3 linked regions of the Solanum lycopersicum genome follow. The protein of the gene in region 1 binds, or shares a complex with, the protein of each later gene. Links are inferred from orthologs where the notes say so. Each region holds a gene or a part of one and is shown on either strand. Other genes may lie near its edges. The genes, in order: cleavage and polyadenylation specificity factor subunit 2, cleavage and polyadenylation specificity factor subunit 1 and cleavage and polyadenylation specificity factor subunit 3-I.

Evidence for each region.
Region 2: cleavage and polyadenylation specificity factor subunit 2 (region 1) and cleavage and polyadenylation specificity factor subunit 1 share a complex: the UniProt entries of both Arabidopsis thaliana proteins name them as parts of the CPSF complex. The link is inferred for Solanum lycopersicum from reciprocal best matches to the Arabidopsis thaliana genes CPSF100 and CPSF160.
Region 3: cleavage and polyadenylation specificity factor subunit 2 (region 1) and cleavage and polyadenylation specificity factor subunit 3-I share a complex: the UniProt entries of both Arabidopsis thaliana proteins name them as parts of the CPSF complex. The link is inferred for Solanum lycopersicum from reciprocal best matches to the Arabidopsis thaliana genes CPSF100 and CPSF73-I.

What each region holds. Positions count from the first base shown.
Region 1 is NC_090802.1:3,726,801-3,729,718, forward strand, and holds the end of cleavage and polyadenylation specificity factor subunit 2, read right to left. Parts: intron 2,097-2,918; coding exon 1,965-2,096; intron 1,868-1,964; coding exon 1,823-1,867; intron 1,371-1,822; coding exon 1,203-1,370; intron 1,107-1,202; coding exon 1,032-1,106; intron 931-1,031; coding exon 829-930; 3' UTR 533-828; downstream 1-532. UniProt on the Arabidopsis thaliana protein: CPSF plays a key role in pre-mRNA 3'-end formation, recognizing the AAUAAA signal sequence and interacting with poly(A)polymerase and other factors to bring about cleavage and poly(A) addition. Required for antisense-RNA-mediated gene silencing.
Region 2 is NC_090802.1:2,563,863-2,567,522, reverse strand, and holds part of cleavage and polyadenylation specificity factor subunit 1, read left to right. Parts: intron 1-2,399; coding exon 2,400-2,545; intron 2,546-3,660. UniProt on the Arabidopsis thaliana protein: CPSF plays a key role in pre-mRNA 3'-end formation, recognizing the AAUAAA signal sequence and interacting with poly(A)polymerase and other factors to bring about cleavage and poly(A) addition.
Region 3 is NC_090806.1:62,064,442-62,067,576, reverse strand, and holds part of cleavage and polyadenylation specificity factor subunit 3-I, read right to left. Parts: intron 2,811-3,135; coding exon 2,765-2,810; intron 2,683-2,764; coding exon 2,533-2,682; intron 1-2,532. UniProt on the Arabidopsis thaliana protein: Component of the cleavage and polyadenylation specificity factor (CPSF) complex that play a key role in pre-mRNA 3'-end formation, recognizing the AAUAAA signal sequence and interacting with poly(A) polymerase and other factors to bring about cleavage and poly(A) addition.

The sequences.
Region 1 (2,918 bases):
TTCTGGAGAAGTGAAGCTCCGTACGAAGTATCTCAAATAGCTCCCTCCAAAAGTTTCCAGTCTTGATCCCTGATGATGATATTTCTTGATAGCCCCCAATACTTAACCACGTTCTTGAAGCAACCGACTATTGCAGGCATAAAAGTAGCACATTTCGAAAATATGTTCACCACAACCATTATTGTTCCATACCCGTCAGACTTAGGTAAGGAAGTGATATAGTCCATGGCCACACTCTCCCATTGGTGCTCTGCTACATGTAGTGGCTCAAGTAGCCCTCTGGATTGCCTCTACTCCACCTTGTCCTGCTAGCACACCAGATAGCACATGTCGTCCCACATGCACGATAATAGATTGCCTCAAGCAATGCCCTCGTATATCGTTGTCACAAATGCCCTGCTCACTACCGATTGGAGGGTCTATGGGCCCAAATTCAATCCTCTAATTAAAAAACCTGTTGCATGGGAATTGTTATCGAAAAATAAAAGAAACAGTAAAGTTCTCAACAAAATAATTCAACTAGGGATGCAAGTTTTGTATGGTCAAAATTTCTAAATTTAGTTGTGTTTTTCAATTCTAACCTCAACTCGGGGTACTTTAATTGCAAAAGAGTAATTCTAAATTTTCATCAACTTCCACTAGCATAAATACAACAGCCTACATAGCCTGCAGGAAATTCTAACAATTGTGACCTTTTCGAAACCAATGAGACAATAAGTTACAAATTACTAGAAAAACAGCCAGTCAAGATTCAAGAGAAGAGAAAAAAGAGACAAAAAGGAAAGCTGCATTTGTTACAAGTACAAAAAGTTACTCTGCTCTTCATATTTAGAGGGAGTAAAAATGTGAATATAGGTACTCTCGAATTTTATAGTACTCTTCCGATAATGGACCTTCAAGCACAATCTGCTGAATAGCTGCACCTCCAACCTACAAGAAATTTTCAAACAGAAGTTTAGTATGCCAAGAAAAAGGCTTCATTTTGCTAATAATATGAAGAACACTTGGATGATATTATCAAAAGCGGTCACCTTTTGACTAGCATCTCCAACTTTGCGAATGGTGACATACTCCCCACAACGTAAAGCCCCACCACCAAATTCTACCTGAAAATGAAAATAGCTGGTCTCAACATTTTGCTAACCTAAAGCCAAATCATGATTAGTAGTAGAAAATATAACATAAAAGAAAAGAGAAAAGACCTGAACGCCCTTGCTTGCAAGAAACTGCTTGAAATCAGACATTTTTAAATCTCCAACAAGAACTGTTTTATGGGGTGGAGAAGGTCCGGAAAGAGGAAGTAAAGAGAACATGTCGTTTTCCGTCTTCCCCACTTCAGCATCAACCCATGCTATTTCATAGTCTCCAAGCTACAATAGCAAATGTGAACACAATTAAGCAAGGACAAAGGGAAAACACAGACACAATAATGATCAAGATTAGTCTTTGTATGCAGCTTCCTGATCAAATGGAGCATAAAGTCTTACACACCGAAGACTTTAGTACAAACACTTGAAATGTCTAACCCATTGTAGTGTGTGGAGTGTACAGAGCCTCAACATTCAAGGACAAAAAGATAGCTACTGAACTGCAAATGTACAAAACATTTAACAAAGAGTACCTTGATAAAAACTCCATCAATCCATTTATACAACACATGAAGGGTGATTGACACAAGTGTGCTTAGGTAACTTTTTGTTTTAATTAGATGTGCATAAATTACTAACTTCAGCTGCTTCTATAAATGCATCAAGAGCCTAAAGTGGCAGAAATTTCGTAAAGGAATCATTTATTGATGTCATACATAATATATCCAGCTTACCTTCTTAAAAAGCACTTGGCTCATTAACTTCTCAGAAAGTTGGACCTATCATGGAAGCAAACATAGACCAAGGATGTTATACTAGTATTTTGTTTAAACAGGTATAAACCACAAAAGGCACATACAAAGAAAGTAGACTAACCTTATAAGCACACAAATCTGAAGTTACATCAATTGTTTCTTCCAACTGTGGAGCATAGACCTGTGGACAAACATGTTTCAGACAATGTTGCTTCAAATGTTCAGTGGCTTCAGCTGATCCATGCACCAATACCTATAAAACAGAATAGCTATTAAAACAAGTCAACTAGTTGAAGTTGAAAGAACTAATTGTTTCACTGTTGAAGAAGAAAAGTAGGACACGGATAGACTAACTGATAGGAAAACAGGCAGAAAGTTCAGGTAATGAATATTATATAGGTGTCAAAAGCAGAAAGATATAAACATTAGTATCCAAAAATGACCATCTATCTGCTATTTAAACTACTAATAAAAAAATACCAACTTCAATTAAGAAAAAAGTGAACCAGGAGAAGTTGTAGTCAACATGAACTAACTAATCCTTGTTATTAAAGGATACAAAGTCATTACTGTATTGAGCATTGTGAACACTGAACAACATACTAATCAGCTAATACTAGACCCTCTATCATTTTAGTTTTTTGATAACCGTGGTGCCCGGGCCAGATTTCGCGCACCTCAACTAACTCCACGGGATACTTACCACCTCCCATAGTACCACCAGGTAACTCCGTCCACCAGGCTAGGACAAATTGGAAGATTCACCTTATGTTTTTTTTCTTCGTTGAGTTTTGAACCTGAGACTTCAAGGTTCTCAACCATTTCATTGATCACTAGGTCACATCCTCTTATCATAATTCGATGCATCACTTCTTTTTTTTCAAATGGAGGACAGAATGGATTCAATTAGTCCCTTGCAGACGCTATTACCATTGCTTCCACAACTATAACCCTCATTTCCAGAATTTTTCAGACTAAGGATAATCAGTCATCATTTTAGCTTTAAAGTGAAAATAAAAAAACTAAAATCAAAGTCTTTGCAGGAAATTTAAGTCAATTATGTGAGACTTTCAAA
Region 2 (3,660 bases), about 1.2 Mb from region 1:
AACATTTTTGTTCTCTTCTGTAGTAGAATGATATCTCTTGGTTGTGAAAATATACTTTGTTAGTGCCTCCAGAGCTTGTCTAGTTGTAAGAGTGTAGCTTGTGATGTGCATGCCACAAGAGTCTCAACCTTACTGTGAACCAAAAACATGGTATTTAAGTGGAAGAGGGTAGAGGGGTGGACCCAATATCCTCCAAATTTTGGATTGTGTGCCAGCTGGTCATCAGGGATATCTTGGTTACAATATTTTTTTTATTGTTGTTGTCACAATGGAAATTGATATTGTTGAACTCTATTTGACGAGAAAAAATTAATTGACTTCTATTTTTTTTTTCTTGACAAAAGGTAACAGAATTGACCTCTATTTCTTTCATAATCTTAATCATTTCCTATCTAATTATTTTACTGGCCTAATGCATAGGCAGCCCCTAAACTTGGCAGGATATTTCAGTTAGAGACCTCAACTAAAGACTCGACCTATTTAATACCTGAATAATACTGAAAATGTTCCGATTGAACACATATTTTCTTATTCTAGACAACATAAAATGCATGAATGCAACTCGCTATGGCAGAAGCAACCAATAATACAAAAGCAGGTTAGCAAAGGGAAAAAAGTCAAGATCTGAAAAGAAAAAAAAGAAAGAAAATGAGTTGAGTGAATGAAGCTCCGGTGCTCTCCCTTTCTGACAAAGTCACAAATCTGTTGAGTTCAAAGGAATGTTTAAAGATTTTTTTGACAGCTTAGACAGCAGCTACCAATTGTCGGATAAAACTCTGTTTAAATTCAGCCATTTTGAACCATGGGATGGTCTTCAAAACTCAAAAATCTTCTCTGTTGACAAGTTGCTTGTTGGAAAAACTGGTACTTTCGGCTATTTTGGAAACCTGGAAGTGATGGAATCTACTACGTCAAATCTGCATACAACTACCAGAATAGGGAAAATGCACATTTGACCCGTCGCCATGGAAGTTCATCTGGAAGACCAAGGCCCCTTACAAAGTCTGCTGTTTTTCTTGGCTTGTAGCAAGAAAAGCATGTCTCACTCAGGAAACTTCAAGAAGGGGATTTCATCTATACTCTGGATGTCGCATGTGTGGTGAAGCCAGAGAAAATAATAGTCGTCCATTTCTACATTGACCTAACTCCTCTAGATGGACAATCGTGGCAACTTTTTTTGAACTTGGTAGGACTAAGATGGTCTATGCTAGCAACAAGCTGTGATATATTGAAGTGCTGGAACTATGATGGTAGTGCAGTGTGACAAAAGAAGTGGTGGAAACTTGTCCCAACTTGTATACGGTGGACAATTTGGAAGGAGAGGAGATATAGAATTTTGAAAGACTAAAACAGTTCTGTGCAGAGAGTCAAGATGAATGGTATTTTTTTTGTTTCATTTTTGGTGGAAAGAAACTATGTAGAGAGGTTCAAAACTCAGCGGAGACAAAAAACAGTAGGTGATTCTTCCGATATATTCTAGCCTTGGTGGACATAGTTACCTTGTACCTGGTGGGAGATGACAAATATCCTGTTGAATTAGTTGAGGTGCGGACACCATAGTCATAAAAAAACTATGTAGAGGAGACTGAATCAATAGTTGTCATGATAAGTTCCTTCTGAAAGGGTAGTCTTAAGCAAGCTTGGGTTTTTGTAATTGTAAGAAGCACTTTTATGGTGCATATCTAGTATGTATTTATATACACAGGGTCACACACATGTTACAAGTTTCAAAAAAATGCAACTCAAGCTCTTCCATTTGGTAACCCTCCCACAAAACTTAATGTGTTTTTACCATGGAACTTTTTGAATCTTGAAAATCCTTTTTCTCAGCAAGCTTCGATCGGATGATATGTCCATTCCTGTCCTGCTGAGAAATCACCTATTAGCCATCTTCTTTCGTACTCTCTTAACAACCCTCACCCATACAGGAAAATCATGTCTGTCCCAGCATGTATCTGGTGGACAATCTGGAGAGAGAGAAACAATAGATGTTTTGAGAGCAAAAGTTGTGATCTTCAGAAGATCAAATTGAACCGTATCAAACTTTCTTGTTTCTGGTGCAAACAGATGTACCTAGACGACACTGGGTCAATTATTGAGATCCTTGGCTCTATTTAGATTTTAGATTCAGATATCCTGTTTTATTGAGAAGTTGTAATTATGGTTTTTAGTACAACCTACTTAGAATAGGAACAGGTATAGAAATAGTATATAGAATCCTACTTGGAAAAGGATTATAATGTAGTGTCCTAGTTAGAAAATGAGTCTAATGTAGATAGGGTCTCAATGTAATAATGTAGACGCACAATTCAATAATATTCTTCTCCTATATGTCTCACATCCACCATCTGCAGTTACCACTGTTGCCAGTTTGAACTTTGACATGTGCCTTTATGCAGGTTATATTGAGCCTGTAATGGTTATCCTTCATGAAAGGGAACTCACTTGGTCTGGGCGCGTCTCTTGGAAACACCATACTTGTATGGTCTCTGCCTTTAGTATTAGTACAACGTTGAAGCAGCATCCACTGATATGGTCAGCCACTGTAAGTTACAATGATCTTTGTTGCCAGCATTATTTATATATATTCTTATTAGCTTGAAGGAGAGAGAGAGAAGAGGCAACAAAGAAAGGAGATCACTCCAGTAAGAGCTATTTCTTGATGATGACTGTATCACAGTTCTTTCTATTTTGGGGTTTGGTTTGGTGAGGGAAATAAGGTCAAGAATGCTGCTTAAGTTAAGAAGTTCTATCCTTCCGTTTCATTGAGGTATCACTGTAATTACACTTGATGACAACCTTTAGCTGATGAGCTCATATACTAATTCTGGTCTTGTTTGTCTTCCTTCTTTATTGTGTTTTCTTTTTTGTCAGTCAAATTACAATTATTTCCCTCAAAATATTTTCCTCATATCAACAACCTAATAGAAGAGCTTTTGAAGGTATAGAGATGGACTTTCTAAAATTGAGCAGTAGTCTCTTATCCCTAATTTCTTTTTGGTGCATCCGTGGAGTACCAGTTTGTGTAGAAGATTGGTGAAGTTTGTAGAAAACCATTTTGTTTTGTAGTTTTCTACATTTTGGAATACCTTTGGTATACATGCTTTTTTTTTCCACCCAAATGTTAATACAACTTGTTACCTTGTCAAAAAACAAAAGAAAACAACCTAAACCCGGAGTAACTTTGTTGTTGCCACTGATTAGTCATTTCCTGTGGGGCAAATATTTCTCATCTTTTGTTTCCTGCAGTACAAACCACATTACTTAACAAAAGAACCAAGAATTTATTTTATTTTGATTTGTTTGCTTTTTTTTGTTAAGTCTGTTAAACAGTAATTTTGAGCTTAAGGTTCTATAGTGTGGAGCACAAGATGTTTCAAGCATGGCCTCGGTAATGAAAATGTGATTCCAACTTATCACGAGAGAGTTGATTTGGTGGACAGCGGGTACTAAAAGGCTGATGATTCAAATATATATCATGAAATTTCAATAAAAAAATTTGACGAGAATAATGCAAAAGTACTTTACCTCTTTAAAGGGGTCGTTTGTATGCGGGATAGGATAAGCTAGGATACCCCATGTGATTATTTTATCCCACCGTCTATATGGGATAGCAATCCCATCATTTTAGAAAAAAGGGGGGTTACCATATGGGATTAG
Region 3 (3,135 bases), on another chromosome or scaffold:
TACCTCAATATCTGAAAAGCATCTTTGACTATTAATAAAAGACAAAAGGAGTCAAATTGGCAAAGATACCATCATTCCACAAGGTTATTAATGGGAGGACATAGACAATATTACCATGACTAAAAAATTCAAATTTCCAAGAAAATAAACATCAGAGCTAATATGATGGAAGTATGAGAGTAATGACTTGGTAGTTTCTGTGATAAGGTCAAATGGGTAAGGAGTTCTAATACACCGATTCAAGAAATAGCTGCATGGTTATGACACAAACACCCTTTTCTAGTTTCTCCTCTCATAAATAAACTAAGAAGATCATGTAACTACATAAGCATACTCACAGAACCTAAGACAACAGTTCTTTTTTTTCCTTCCTTATTTGTGATAATCGAGAACTCCCTGAGGACATGAAGCAAGGTTTGGAACTAGGTGGGTAATGGGTCTGCCGCTCTATCCTTCTCCACTTAATATACTGGGCTTTTTTCTGCAGTAATGTTCGAAACCATGATGTGTGCCTAATTCACGTCACGTGCTATGCTCTTACCACTAGACCAAAGCCCCGGGTGCACCTAAGCCAATAGTTCTAATGAGCTCAACAACAACAAACTGGTCAATAACAATTCCAAAAGAATGAAAAAGGTTCAACTTCATTCTTTTTTGAGGATGGAAAAGAAGAATTTTGTTTAGCAGGAAATAGTAAGAAAAGAGTAGTTCAAGGCTAACGATGCAGGTGCATCACTGTGTATACTCTCTGACATTCATAAAACATGTATTTCTCCAAGGTTGCAGATGTTCCATGAGGTATACAAAAGCATATCCAAAGCCCGATCCATCCCTCTTGTTTCAGTAAGAATAATGTTTCTTATATCCAAATAGCATATTCAAAGCACGATCTAAGACTCCTTCAGCTAAATGAAAAGCACAGTCAAACTTCAATAGCTTCTCTAAAAGACCATTTAGTGTAAGCTACACATAACACTCATTCAGGACAGCAAACAAGGGAAAGCCAAAAATGTCCAATAGAATTAAATTTTCTGCAGCACAACCATATTATGGTCCAAGGAGATCAAATAATAGAGTCAGAATTCAAATATCCAGGTGAAGAAATAATATATTTGAGTTGCTTTCATATCCAGCTTGTAGGCAGTAGGCCAAGGAAACTCTTTTTAGGGTTCGTGCTCCCACCACACCACCAAATTAGTTTCACTATCACCCCACCGTCCCTTCCCTTCACTACACCCCCTCACTCTCCAGGCCACCACAATCTATTACTTTAGCAAATTAGTTCTAATCAGGAAAAGAAATACAAATCAAATTAAATTTTTATTGGTTCTATTTAGACTTAGAGCCCGTTTGGCTTAGCGGATTTTAAGTAGCTTTAGTACCAAAGTGTTGAAAAACACTTCTTTTAATGCTGCAGCTGAAATTTCAAATAACCAATTACATGTTTGGATAGAAGTGCTGCAGCTGAAAATACGGGTGTGTATGGTAAAAAAGGTGTAGATAAACACCTCTTCTGTTGAAAAGACCCGAATGCCCTAAATACTGCTAACACTAAATGAGCTTAACGGCTTAACCTAAATGAAAAGAAGTACACATAGGGAAGCTCTTTATAGAGAAGCCTGCTCTTTATAGAGAAGCCTGACCAATAAAATTAGTGATAATTACTGAGAGGTTCTAGTTATTAAACAGTCATTCTGAATATTTAATTGAACCATCAATATTGAGACATTCTTATCTGATGGATCAATCAAAATATCTAATCACGATCACCCTGCCAACAACTCATTGTCTGTCATATCACTATTTCAATAATGCTAAAATTTACAATCAAAATAGCAAATCTAACAATATGATAATCCACCCCTAGGCCCTATCTAATTTCAATCATAATCACCTTTGCCAACAACTCACTGTCTGTCAAAACACTAGTTCAACAATGCTACAATTTACTATCAATATAGAAAATCAAACAATATGATGATTCAACCCTAGAAATTCGATAGCATGTACTCTCATATATCATAATCTTAGACCAAGCAACCTCCAAAAGTCCTGATTACAAGTTTTTTTTTTGTTGTCGAAAGCCATATCCAATGTGCAAACATGAGGGGAATCTGCAAATATTATGAAAAATATGCAGAAAACCACATCTTTCTTATCTTCTATATTTCTCTAAACATTAATTGGGCAATATAAACACACCAACAATTATACCTTATTAAATATTAACCATTATTCAAGGGATAAAACCTTATGCAGGACTTGAAAAAATCCTATACAGAAAAGGGTTTTTTCTTCCAAAAAGCTTATAAATAGAAGGCTAGATATCCACAGTGTTATCCAAGACAGAAGAACTTCCAAGAGGTCTACATGTGGACCAGATGTACAACACAGACTAGTAATGGAGTGAAAATACGTTGTTCAGTGTAGAACCTGTTTTCAAACCAAGACCTCACAAGAGTATGAATCTATAATCCGAATGACTAATCATACAACTGCGTGAAGATTAAGCATGGGATGTTGAAAACAAACCTCAATTTTTTCCATGGAGTGAAGAATGTCATGTTCATCAAACAACATATCTTCAACAGAGACTTTGCTAACTTTAACATAATCTGACAAAAGCAACTTGTATATTGCCTTTGTGGCATGTGTCATGAAAACACGCCCCTTAAATGTAGTCTGAACATAAAAAGAACCCATATGAACCAGCAAATAAGTACTAAATGTACAGAATAAAAAGACCATGAACCCCTGAATAAACCTTTTCAAGAAAATAAGGAAGGGATGCAGCATGATCCAAGTGAAAACTGCAAAGCATTAGAACAAGTTAAAGTGAGTAGCCAAGTAAGATAAACAGGAACAGAAACCAATAAAATAAGAATAAAAAAGAAACAATCAATGAACGGTCAACAGTTATAACACGTGACAAGGGACTCGATGGCCACTGCAGAGACAACTAACGGGTGCACAAGTAAGTTGCTCAAAATCAGAACCACATAAAATAGATAATAAACTGAAACTTGATCCAGCCCACACCATTCAACCACTCCTTAGTCCTCCCACTGCTCAATTAAACAATAACAATAAATAGTGGGAAAAAAAATTATTCTATCCAGCAACTGCTAAAATAGT